2 linked regions of the Neodiprion lecontei genome follow. The protein of the gene in region 2 interacts with the protein of the main gene of each other region in a pairwise test. Links are inferred from orthologs where the notes say so. Each region holds a gene or a part of one and is shown on either strand. Other genes may lie near its edges. The genes, in order: zinc finger protein 830 and RNA helicase aquarius.

Evidence for each region.
Region 1: the proteins of RNA helicase aquarius (region 2) and zinc finger protein 830 interact in a two-hybrid assay, tested with the Homo sapiens proteins (2 studies listed by BioGRID and IntAct, with this or other methods). The link is inferred for Neodiprion lecontei from reciprocal best matches to the Homo sapiens genes AQR and ZNF830.

What each region holds. Positions count from the first base shown.
Region 1 is NC_060260.1:1,883,785-1,888,414, reverse strand, and holds zinc finger protein 830, read right to left. Parts: upstream 2,378-4,630; 5' UTR 2,197-2,377; coding exon 2,084-2,196; intron 1,980-2,083; coding exon 1,532-1,979; intron 1,129-1,531; coding exon 959-1,128; intron 849-958; coding exon 704-848; 3' UTR 504-703; downstream 1-503.
Region 2 is NC_060266.1:126,528-131,553, reverse strand, and holds the start of RNA helicase aquarius, read right to left. Parts: upstream 3,190-5,026; 5' UTR 3,041-3,189; coding exon 2,954-3,040; intron 2,679-2,953; coding exon 2,042-2,678; intron 1,569-2,041; coding exon 1,390-1,568; intron 1,139-1,389; exon of another isoform or gene 479-1,138; coding exon of another isoform or gene 1-478. Other genes in the region: probable G-protein coupled receptor Mth-like 5, read left to right, coding at 1-478.

The sequences.
Region 1 (4,630 bases), on a different chromosome or scaffold from region 2:
CCGTCGTATCACCGGTTTCTTCCAACGTGAATCGATAAACCAAATAGAACTTGTAAACGCTAAAATTTACCGCAGCAATGAAAACGAGACAAACAACTCACTTTCAATGTTCGCAGGCTTTTCTAATTTCAATAATTCCTGTCTTCGTGAAGGTCAAGCGTCCATGGTTTGTGTACTAAAACGAACGTGCAAATTCTGGACCGAACACACTGAACCTGCCTCTTTTCACAGCCTGATCAGAGGGCTCTGGATTTCGAATCGTCGAAGTGCGTGTTACTCGTGAAATGTCTCGGAAGCGAATGACGTCGCGTTAGTCGCAATTATCGAAGATTTTTCTCCGGGCAGTCTCCATTTTGTCGAGCCGATCGCCGGTCTTTGTGTTTAAACGAACGCATCGCGAAGCTGAGCTCCTTGCTTTTAAACAAGGTATGGTCGACAAGTTTATAAAGAATAAAATAACAATAAAAGTGAGTTTATATTGAGTAAAGAATTGCTCAGTTCGATTTCTCCAAACTGTTCTATGAAAATTTATTTCTTTCATATCAGATTATTCAGACTTAATTTCTATACAACTGGGGAATTGTTTGTCACACTAAAGCAACGTGAATTTCGTATACCCTTGCGAGTACGACAGACAATTACGAGAGTATTTACAGATGAAAAAAATAATGTACACTCCGCGATATCGTGACAAATTTATTCATTATTTGTACGATTTTTTAGCTCGCCAATCGAGGAACTCGTCAAACTCAGCCTCGTCTCCGCTGGAAACTTCCTCCTCTACAGCTACGCTCTTTCTCTCGACCTGCTCCAGCACTTCTTCCCTGCGTCGCTCTAACTCTAGGACCCTGAGAAAACAACAGATTCGATCAAGGTAAGAAAATTGAAAGAAACCTGTAATAATTGCGTATAAAGTTTGGTGACAAAAGTGATTGAAGATTATTTGAGATTTCGTCACCTAGACCAGTGTCGCATCTGTTCCTCTATTTCGTCTAATTGCCTCTCGGTCGTCGCTTCCTCCTGATCATCCGCTATGATCTGAGCCGACTGTGCAGCCTCCTCTTTAATCTCTTTTTGAAACTTTTCCCACTCTTCTTCAATCGGGTCTTTGTACTCGACGTTTCTTACCTGCAGAAACCAAGAAACCTTAAATATGAATATACAATCAAAACAAGCAACGGTTATTGTCGAAAATGTATTCAAGACAGTGAGAAACTAGCTGAGAAGTAGAATTTAGTGGAAATACTATCTTGACCTCAATGTTGGTGAAATGATAGATTCTTGGATGTATGGGTAAGTAAAATCCATAGGGTTGATGTTTTGGCCCGAGATCATTAAAGATGATTCACATTGAATAATCCGTTCTGAGGAGAGCTCTCGCTTGGGCTGAACCGTCGACCATTTCTTTTTCACTGAACAGTATATCCAAGAATCTATCGGCTCGTTAGAATTTAGTTTTCGTGACGTTGCCTCAACTATTTAAAGTTTTTCTAGTCAATCACCAGCTCCTTTTCACCCAAGTCTACATCACCTTAGCGTCCATGATAGGATCGTCGAAAAAGCCTTCTGGGAGCTGAGCCTGACTGAGATCCTTCTCCTCCTCCTTCTCTTCCATCTCGACATCCTCACTTTCCGCCGATTCCTTTGTCACTTCAGTTTTGGCCTCGTGAACATTACGAGGAGGTTTAGGTGCGGAGGTTTTGTCAAAGAAGTCATCAGGCAGTGCAGACGACACTGCAGGGCCATTTTTCAAAATACTCTTCAACTTTTTACTCGGTACTTCCACATTCGCAGTAGAGGTAGGCCGTTTAAAACTGTGTGGAGCGATCGGAGCAGGTTTGGGAGGCTCGACATGTTCCTTTTTTGCGAGGATGATGTTTTCTTTGTGAATCTTGGAGTTCAGGTGGATATTCCATACCGCTTCACTGCGCACCAGTGTCTTGCAGAGTATGCATATCAGCTGACCCGAATCTGTGTACGTGCTTACATTCATAAGGAAATATACGTGTCAAGTTATAGCGATGAGAGGGGGATGCAAAAATCGTAAAGTATGATGTTTATTCTATTTTACATAAAAGGATATTTTGCGATTGGTGATTCGATTCTCGTCACTGTGGTCAGCTTCTTTTTGTGCTCATTCATAACTCGACGCAAGTCTGTCTGCGTCACTTTCTTCCCAACGTTTCTCAGAGACATAATTGATTCTGGTTTTTGTATCTTGTCAAATATCACCAAGTTTACGATTTAAAACAAAATTAGGTTAGGATGTGTACGTTGTGTGTTGTTTTCGGGGTTGTGAGAGATTATGTCAAGCAGGTTGTCAGGTTACGATAGATTTAGTCAGTCTGTTCTACCCTCACGGGATCTACATACTTACCGACCGTCATTTTAACTACAGAGAAATCAACGATGCATAAATCCTCGCCAGGTAGCGCCACCATGCGTAATCTTCCATGGCGGTGGAATAGGCTGCATGTAACCAGGCGAACCTACTTTAAAGTTTATTCAAAAAGCGCTGGTAAAAACAAGTAAAAATAAAGAGAATAATCACGGGAGTAAATTACTACGACAAAAAAAATTTGCAGTGGAGAAGATTGTCTTTCTCTCCTCGCTTCTCGTCTGTTGTACGTCGTGGCTATAATTTTTTTTTTAATACCTTCTGGTATATTAAATGAGAGTATACATGCAGGTTGCATTAAATCAGCCACGCATCGCGTTCGATGGTGCCATATATTTTAGTTAAAAATTCACCACAGCGGGTATTCGGAGTCGAAATATGTCAAAACACGATATCGCGCAATTACGATTAAATTGTGAAATTTTTTTAACCAGCTAATTCTCGCCGCACTACGGGGTATTCCAGATGACGGTGATATTCCGGAGTTGTTGTATAACTTGTTAGATTTATGACAAAGAGAGAAAAAGAGAGCGAGAGAGAGAGAGAGAGAGAGAGACAATGCCAGAGGGAGAAACGGAGAATAGCACACGTTCTGTGTACCCTTAAATCACGCGTGGGACATATTAGTTAAGTTCGTGGGTTTCTTGGGTATGATCAATACGTCGTACGAAGCTGCGTTACTCGTATATTAAATGAAAACGTGAAACATGCTGTATAAACGCAACAGTATCGATTATCGGTCAAACGAACTTCAGCCGTGTATACATACCTATACATGCGTATACACACAACTCGCTCGCACCTCGCACCCTCCAGCGATAACTTTTCCGCGCAACCGATGATATATAGGCTTAAAAAGTTTTCCATTCTTTGCCCCATTCTTATCAAAATTTTACGAACGGCTGTATTTGTACACCGAGTATTTATGCCTACGTTGCAAAATATCGCCTCCATTGTGAAACGTAAAATTTAAAATTTTCAATGGCAACACTGTACAAACGCACATGCGAAAACAGAACATCTTTTCGAGGCGAAGATATTGCATTTACGTGTTTCGAACAACGATTTGGAGCTTATCGTCTCTGGTGAGAATTTAGCTCACCCGAAATCTTTGAAAAGATCAATATAATATATTGATGAAAAGATTATGGCTATAATGAAGTTCCTTCCGTGCACAAAATTTACTTAATTAATTAAACAACTTTCGAAATGCGCAGGTAGCTGGAGGGAAATACGTTGTATAAGGAAAATTTACAACATGTACGCAAAGGTAGCAACGCTGCGTATGTAAAGGTAGTAGGTGGTCGGGTCCTTGTTGACAAGATGTGTACATAGTTACCACATACATCTACGATGTACAGAACTAGCTTGCGGTAAAGTTTCCTCGGCCTCTTTCGAGATCTGCGAGTCTAGGGAGGTTTTAGACTGAAATTCGAGGTATCTGTGCATCTGCTGACTCGGCGATCGAAGCGATTTGAACTCGCTACGTATGGCGTCTTTCGACATTATTGCTCCTTATAGACGATTCGTCGAGTGCTTCGTCGCCTCGGGCGTTAGCGTACCAACCCAATATCTGTAGTGCCCTGCATAGCTGCTGCTTCTGCTGCTTTTGCTGCTACGGCGGTAAATTGACGACAAAAAGTAAAGAGGCGCAGTCCGTCGTGTCTGGGTCCTCTTCACATCGCCGTCTAATTACAGGGTGGAAGAGTTGTGGGGAGAAAAAATTTGACAAGTAATTGGCCCGATTCGACTCGATAACGGTATTAAAAAAGCATGGATATAAATCGGTTGAAAAGCTTATAAAATCTGATGAATAAATAATAGCAAAAGTGTCGATCAACATTTCAGAGCTGAACTCGGCCGCGCTATCGCCAAATCAAGATGGCCGCCATTGGCCCACTTGCGATTTAATTTTAACCCTGCGATTATTTCCTGTGCTCTTTGATCATCGAGCGATATTTAATGCGAAACACAGCGATGGCAAGAACGTTTTAGTAACGATTTGCACCATCGTCGAAGGTCTGATAGCCGAAAATTCAGCTTCGAAGATAATCGGCCAATTCGTATGCGACTAATTTTTAATCAAGACCTTGTTGCATGGAATTGAGAAACTCGGGCACGCGATCTTCGCAGCGAGCAGGAGTCCTGCCGAGTTTCAACTCTATCCCGGAATTAGTTTTACCCGGGAATATCGTCGTCCTACGGCTCGCAACGTCCCTCTGCTCACTACTA
Region 2 (5,026 bases):
AATGGCGATTTTCTCACACTTCAAGTTGGACACCAACAAACCAATGATAGTCGACGTGCCGGACGCCCCCCAGGAAACCATAGGGTGGCTGGCTGTAGCAGTTCTTTTTACGCCCGTTGCATTTAGTGTCATTTTTAATGTATGGTTCGTTGCGACGACCACAAATTTCATGAAACGAATGAACACGTATGGCAGAATTCACCATAAAATGAAGTATAGTTTCAGAATGTTTGTATTTCTATTTATTATTATGGGGGTTGCCTGGTCATTTACCCTACTTTCCTGGATGAGATCAGAGTTGGAATACTGTTCCATTGTCATAAATTTGTTACAAGCCATTCTAATTCTATATGTATGCGTGTTCGGTCAAAGAAGAGTCACCTTCTTGTTGAGAAAAACTTGCAACTGTTGCAGCCCAGGTGACACTGCTCAGGGCCTCGATTGGGGTGAAGAAATGACAGCTATTAATCTGGGATAACTGTGTCGCACATTGCCGAGTCCCTACTGCTGACTAATAATTTCATTGTCAACGAGTTTGTGAAACCTACATTCCACAATTGAATCTATTTTTCCCATGACTTGACAAGTATTTACCATTCAACCATACTAATGCAAATCCAGAGATTTTAACATTTCGTCGGCAACAGCCGATTATCCACATAAATTATCCAATCATTTTGAAGGATGCAAATTTCAGCACCAAGGGTACTACTTTTATAAATCTCAATCAATTCCTACAATTAGCTCGATCGTATAATCAAATCCTTTGACGCAATCGCACCATATCTAAGTACTTAACTAATTATACATTTTGCTGTTTGAGTCGTCGCACGAGACTGATGAAACAAATTATAAAATATATTAGCCCGTCATCTGGTTTTGTAAAAAATTAACTCCAACTTCGAGGAAGCATATCTATTTTTAAGTAAACGGAATTTCTCAATTAGTATTAGGATTAAGCTCATCGATTGAAGAGTAACTCTGTACCTTGCACAGTGCCTTTGTTTTGAAATATTTAATGATAATATTTACAGAACACTAACGCACTTTAAGGCTCTCACTTGTTTAGTGCAGCGATCTCAAATCTTTATACCTAAATCTATTAATTGACATGAATAAAATTTTTTTAATCTGCAAACCGAAGTCAAAGTGTATTTGTACATACGTCTTGTGTCGTGTAGTAGTCGACTAATCCAAGAAGCAAGTATTGATTATTATTTTTAGGGAATACCGTACCAACCAAATCATTTGTGTCTAGAAAGTGCAAAGCATATACCAGGTGTAACATGTGCGAGCATTGTTACAATTAAGTTATTGCCCGTGTTTGTTGCTTTTTCACACACGACATCCTGACGGTAATACAGGAGAAAATTGAATAAGATTACTCACCTGGTTGAAAAGACCTCCCTCTGGGCGTTGCACCAAGTTGGAGAGTTGACACCGTACTACCAAATGACTGTCATCCATGACTGTGTTGAAGAAACGTCTGGTAGGCAGAAGAGCTTCCAAGTCGATAACCAACTCCAAGAACCTTTCGCAATAATGTATCTTGTCGGGAAAAATTGCTCCTGAAATGTGGCAAAAAGGGCACGATGTAAGTATATCAGCTGAAATATAGTAATTAAAAAAGATCTTGCCCATTAAATGACCAAAATAATTTCAATCAAATTGGGTTTATGAGGCAACTTGGTATAAACACGCACAAGGTTTGAGAAACGATATTTCCAGTTAAATTGTTGTAATTATAAATGACAGTAAAAAAAAAAAAATAAACAGAAAAGGATGCCATCAACATCCCAATCGTAAGGAAGAGATTGGATTAAAATCAGTAACGGTAATGTAACAAAACATGGAATAGTAAATCAGCATTTTACATCTTTAAATGGACTTTGAAGAATTAAAGGTTGCAAATCCAAATTTCAAACAATTACCGTATAATCGCAATTACATTCCAGAATTGCAATGTTCCCCAATAAAATTCTGAGATACGATACTGATCTCCTCAACCGTTGAATAAAAACTCTCTCATAGAAAGACTCACCCTCGAGTGGTACAGTTTCCAGGATAGTCATAAATTTGACCATCAATCTCTGTAGGAATCTCCGCTCCCAGTCCAACTTCTGTCTGATCTCTGGCTTATCTTTCTTTTGTATAATTTTCCAATATTTTCTCCACTTGGGAAACTTTCTAAACTCAAACTCACGTCTGCCCTGTTGCAGTGATACCCACATTGACAATGACACCAACCTCTTAACTTCATTTCTCACTAACGCTACTTCCATAGAATTGAAACAATGATTCAAAAAAACAATAAGCGCCGTCTGTTCTTTAAGATCAAAATCCATTGTACTCTCGTTCAAACAAGCTTCCAGAACTTGCTGAAAAAATCCAGGAAAATGTTGAGGATTCTTCGAAAAAGCTTCCCAGACTTGGACTCTCTCTCGAAATTTTTCGTTCAGCATTACAACTATCGACATCATGTGACTGTGTGACGTTTCTCCTGTACTATAATTTGGCCAAAGATAATTTTCCAGGTATTGGCTGAATTCGAGCATCATTATGCGCCTGATTGAAAACTTTGAAGCACATATCTCTTGTATGTATATATCTTCGATGATTACCGGATCAAACTGGAGGTGTGAGTTGGTTGTGTGAGGTGCCCAATATTTGTTGGCCAACTGGAAAATGGAAACGTATACAGGTGAATACTTGATATGTAAGTGCATATTTTGTAACCGCCCAATGAAATCGTATGAATTAATATCTGCATTCAAAACAACCGGTCAACATAACCTCCTCGCCGCTACCGCACAGGCATGTATCATTACATGCGCATGATTTATGTAATGTATAATTCACCTCGGTTACGTTCTCTGTTATGGCGACGAGGTAGAGTATGAAAAACAAGACGAGCATGTGTATAATTCATGAAAATACGATACAATTATGCTACCTGTGTTATTCTGTCGGCATTTATTTGATCGACCGTGGGCGCAGGATTATTAGTTTTAACGAGGAGTGAAACTGCTGGATTTTCCATTTTCAGATATGAAGTATTTCAACGCTGTAAGAGTAGGAAATTAAACTCCTACAAGACAAACTTCGTCCCTGTGATCAACCAACGACCGTGATTGAACGGATGAAATCGTCAGACGTTGACGCCGGTTGTGATTGTGGTTTATTAGACAATTGTTGTCTACGCCATAAACACGGTCTGCCAAGGGAGGTGATGTCACGGAATATCCATGCACCACGAATGGACTCACGGATGCGTTCCGAAATTAGCTAACAGTGCTGTCAACTATAGTTTATCTCTTTTGCACTACCGAGTTCGTGGGTAACTCCGCCTCAGTTCTAGGGGATTGTTGGCGCGCCGTCGGCTAGTTTCGGAACCACATGACATAATGGTGGGTAGAAACATTTCCTCAGTTGAAATACTCAGTTTGTTTTACAAGCCATCAGAAAATATGCAATTTCCGATCAGATGAGCGCGAGCGACCGAATCACGAAATATGGGAACGGAAATAATGCATGAACAGCTGGCTTAAAGGGGCGAAGGAGTAAGTGGCGACAATGAGCATCGAAATCAGGTCAGTTGTTGACTTGTTCTGCAACATAAATGAAAAGACATTTTAAATTCGCTATGCATACTGAGCTGGATAGTAAGTTTATTACTATCATCGCTACACATAAAATGAACCCACGGTAGTGTTAAAAAATATTAAATGATTCCCCTCCTCGACATCTCGCGTCCAATGTCAGTTATATTTCATTATTTATTTTTTTTTCTTCTCTTTCCAGCAGACCGTTATCACACAAGTTGTAGAGATGATAGTCGCCGCTGCGTGAGTGACCTTCAACGCGAGTGTGAGCAGCACACTTTAAGATAGATTCACGGCATATGTAGAGATGCTAAGAAATTGCAGTATCAATAGCAATCTCGGTTTTGCCGTCGATTGAAAAACGTGGTAATGGTATCAATGATTTTTTTTCCTGTCACTTCTACAGCGCTCGATGATGAAACTACAACTGGACGGTCGTACATTATACGATTTAATTTCACCTGACACATTTATCAACTGTTGTGTTGTTGTTGTTAACACAGTTTCTACGAAAGACCATGTAGTCTTCCGAAAAATGTGCGAGAAAGATCATTATCGGTTAGTTGGAAGTAAATTGGCGCAGGGCGTAGAAATTATATCACTGGAATATACATATATAACGTAACGATTCCAATGCAAATATGCATGACGTTTCTATACTAAATGGTTACAGCAGGAACAATCGCATCGCTACCAGGATTGCACATGGTGATTATACTTGCCACGATTTTATGATAAGTGGTGGGAAATTTTGTTAGTATCAATTTATATGTTACTTAAGTTACATACGCTACTGTCGCTGTCGCAATACTTACCTATACACGTTACACGATTGTAGCGGACAATAACAAACTCGAGGCTTATGTGACAAATTTGTTTTTCTGCGTGGCGCGTTTTATATGAGTATAGGGAAAGACTATTGTATAGGTACACAATGAACATCCATGCGAGGCTCAATTATTGAATACTAGCTACGACTGCGACTGACGCAGCCGATTTTACACGAGGCCCGCATAAACGGGTTCAATAAGTGAGCCTGTGAATGCAGCGAGTATAAGGAGTATTCGCTTGTAATACATTAGCTTTGTCGGAATTGGAAAGATAACCAATAAGAATTGTGAAAATTGACCTCAATGCGGTATTCGGAAAACGTGATCGACTGGTGTCACCCTCATTTTATACCAGTAACCGACAAGGCTTGACATTTATCGAAAGCCACGTACAATCCTGCAATGCTGATCGTTGGATACAATTCGGACCTACATCGATGCGATGAGCACTATATTGGTAATCTGGCCAAGTATACACAGGGTCGTTTGCCACCGCCAAGTTTTTCTCGCATTGTCGAGCATCAGCAGGTATAAGTCAGTATATAAATTGATATCGCACAAGTAACCCTCCTGCGATACCCTCATCATCAGGGA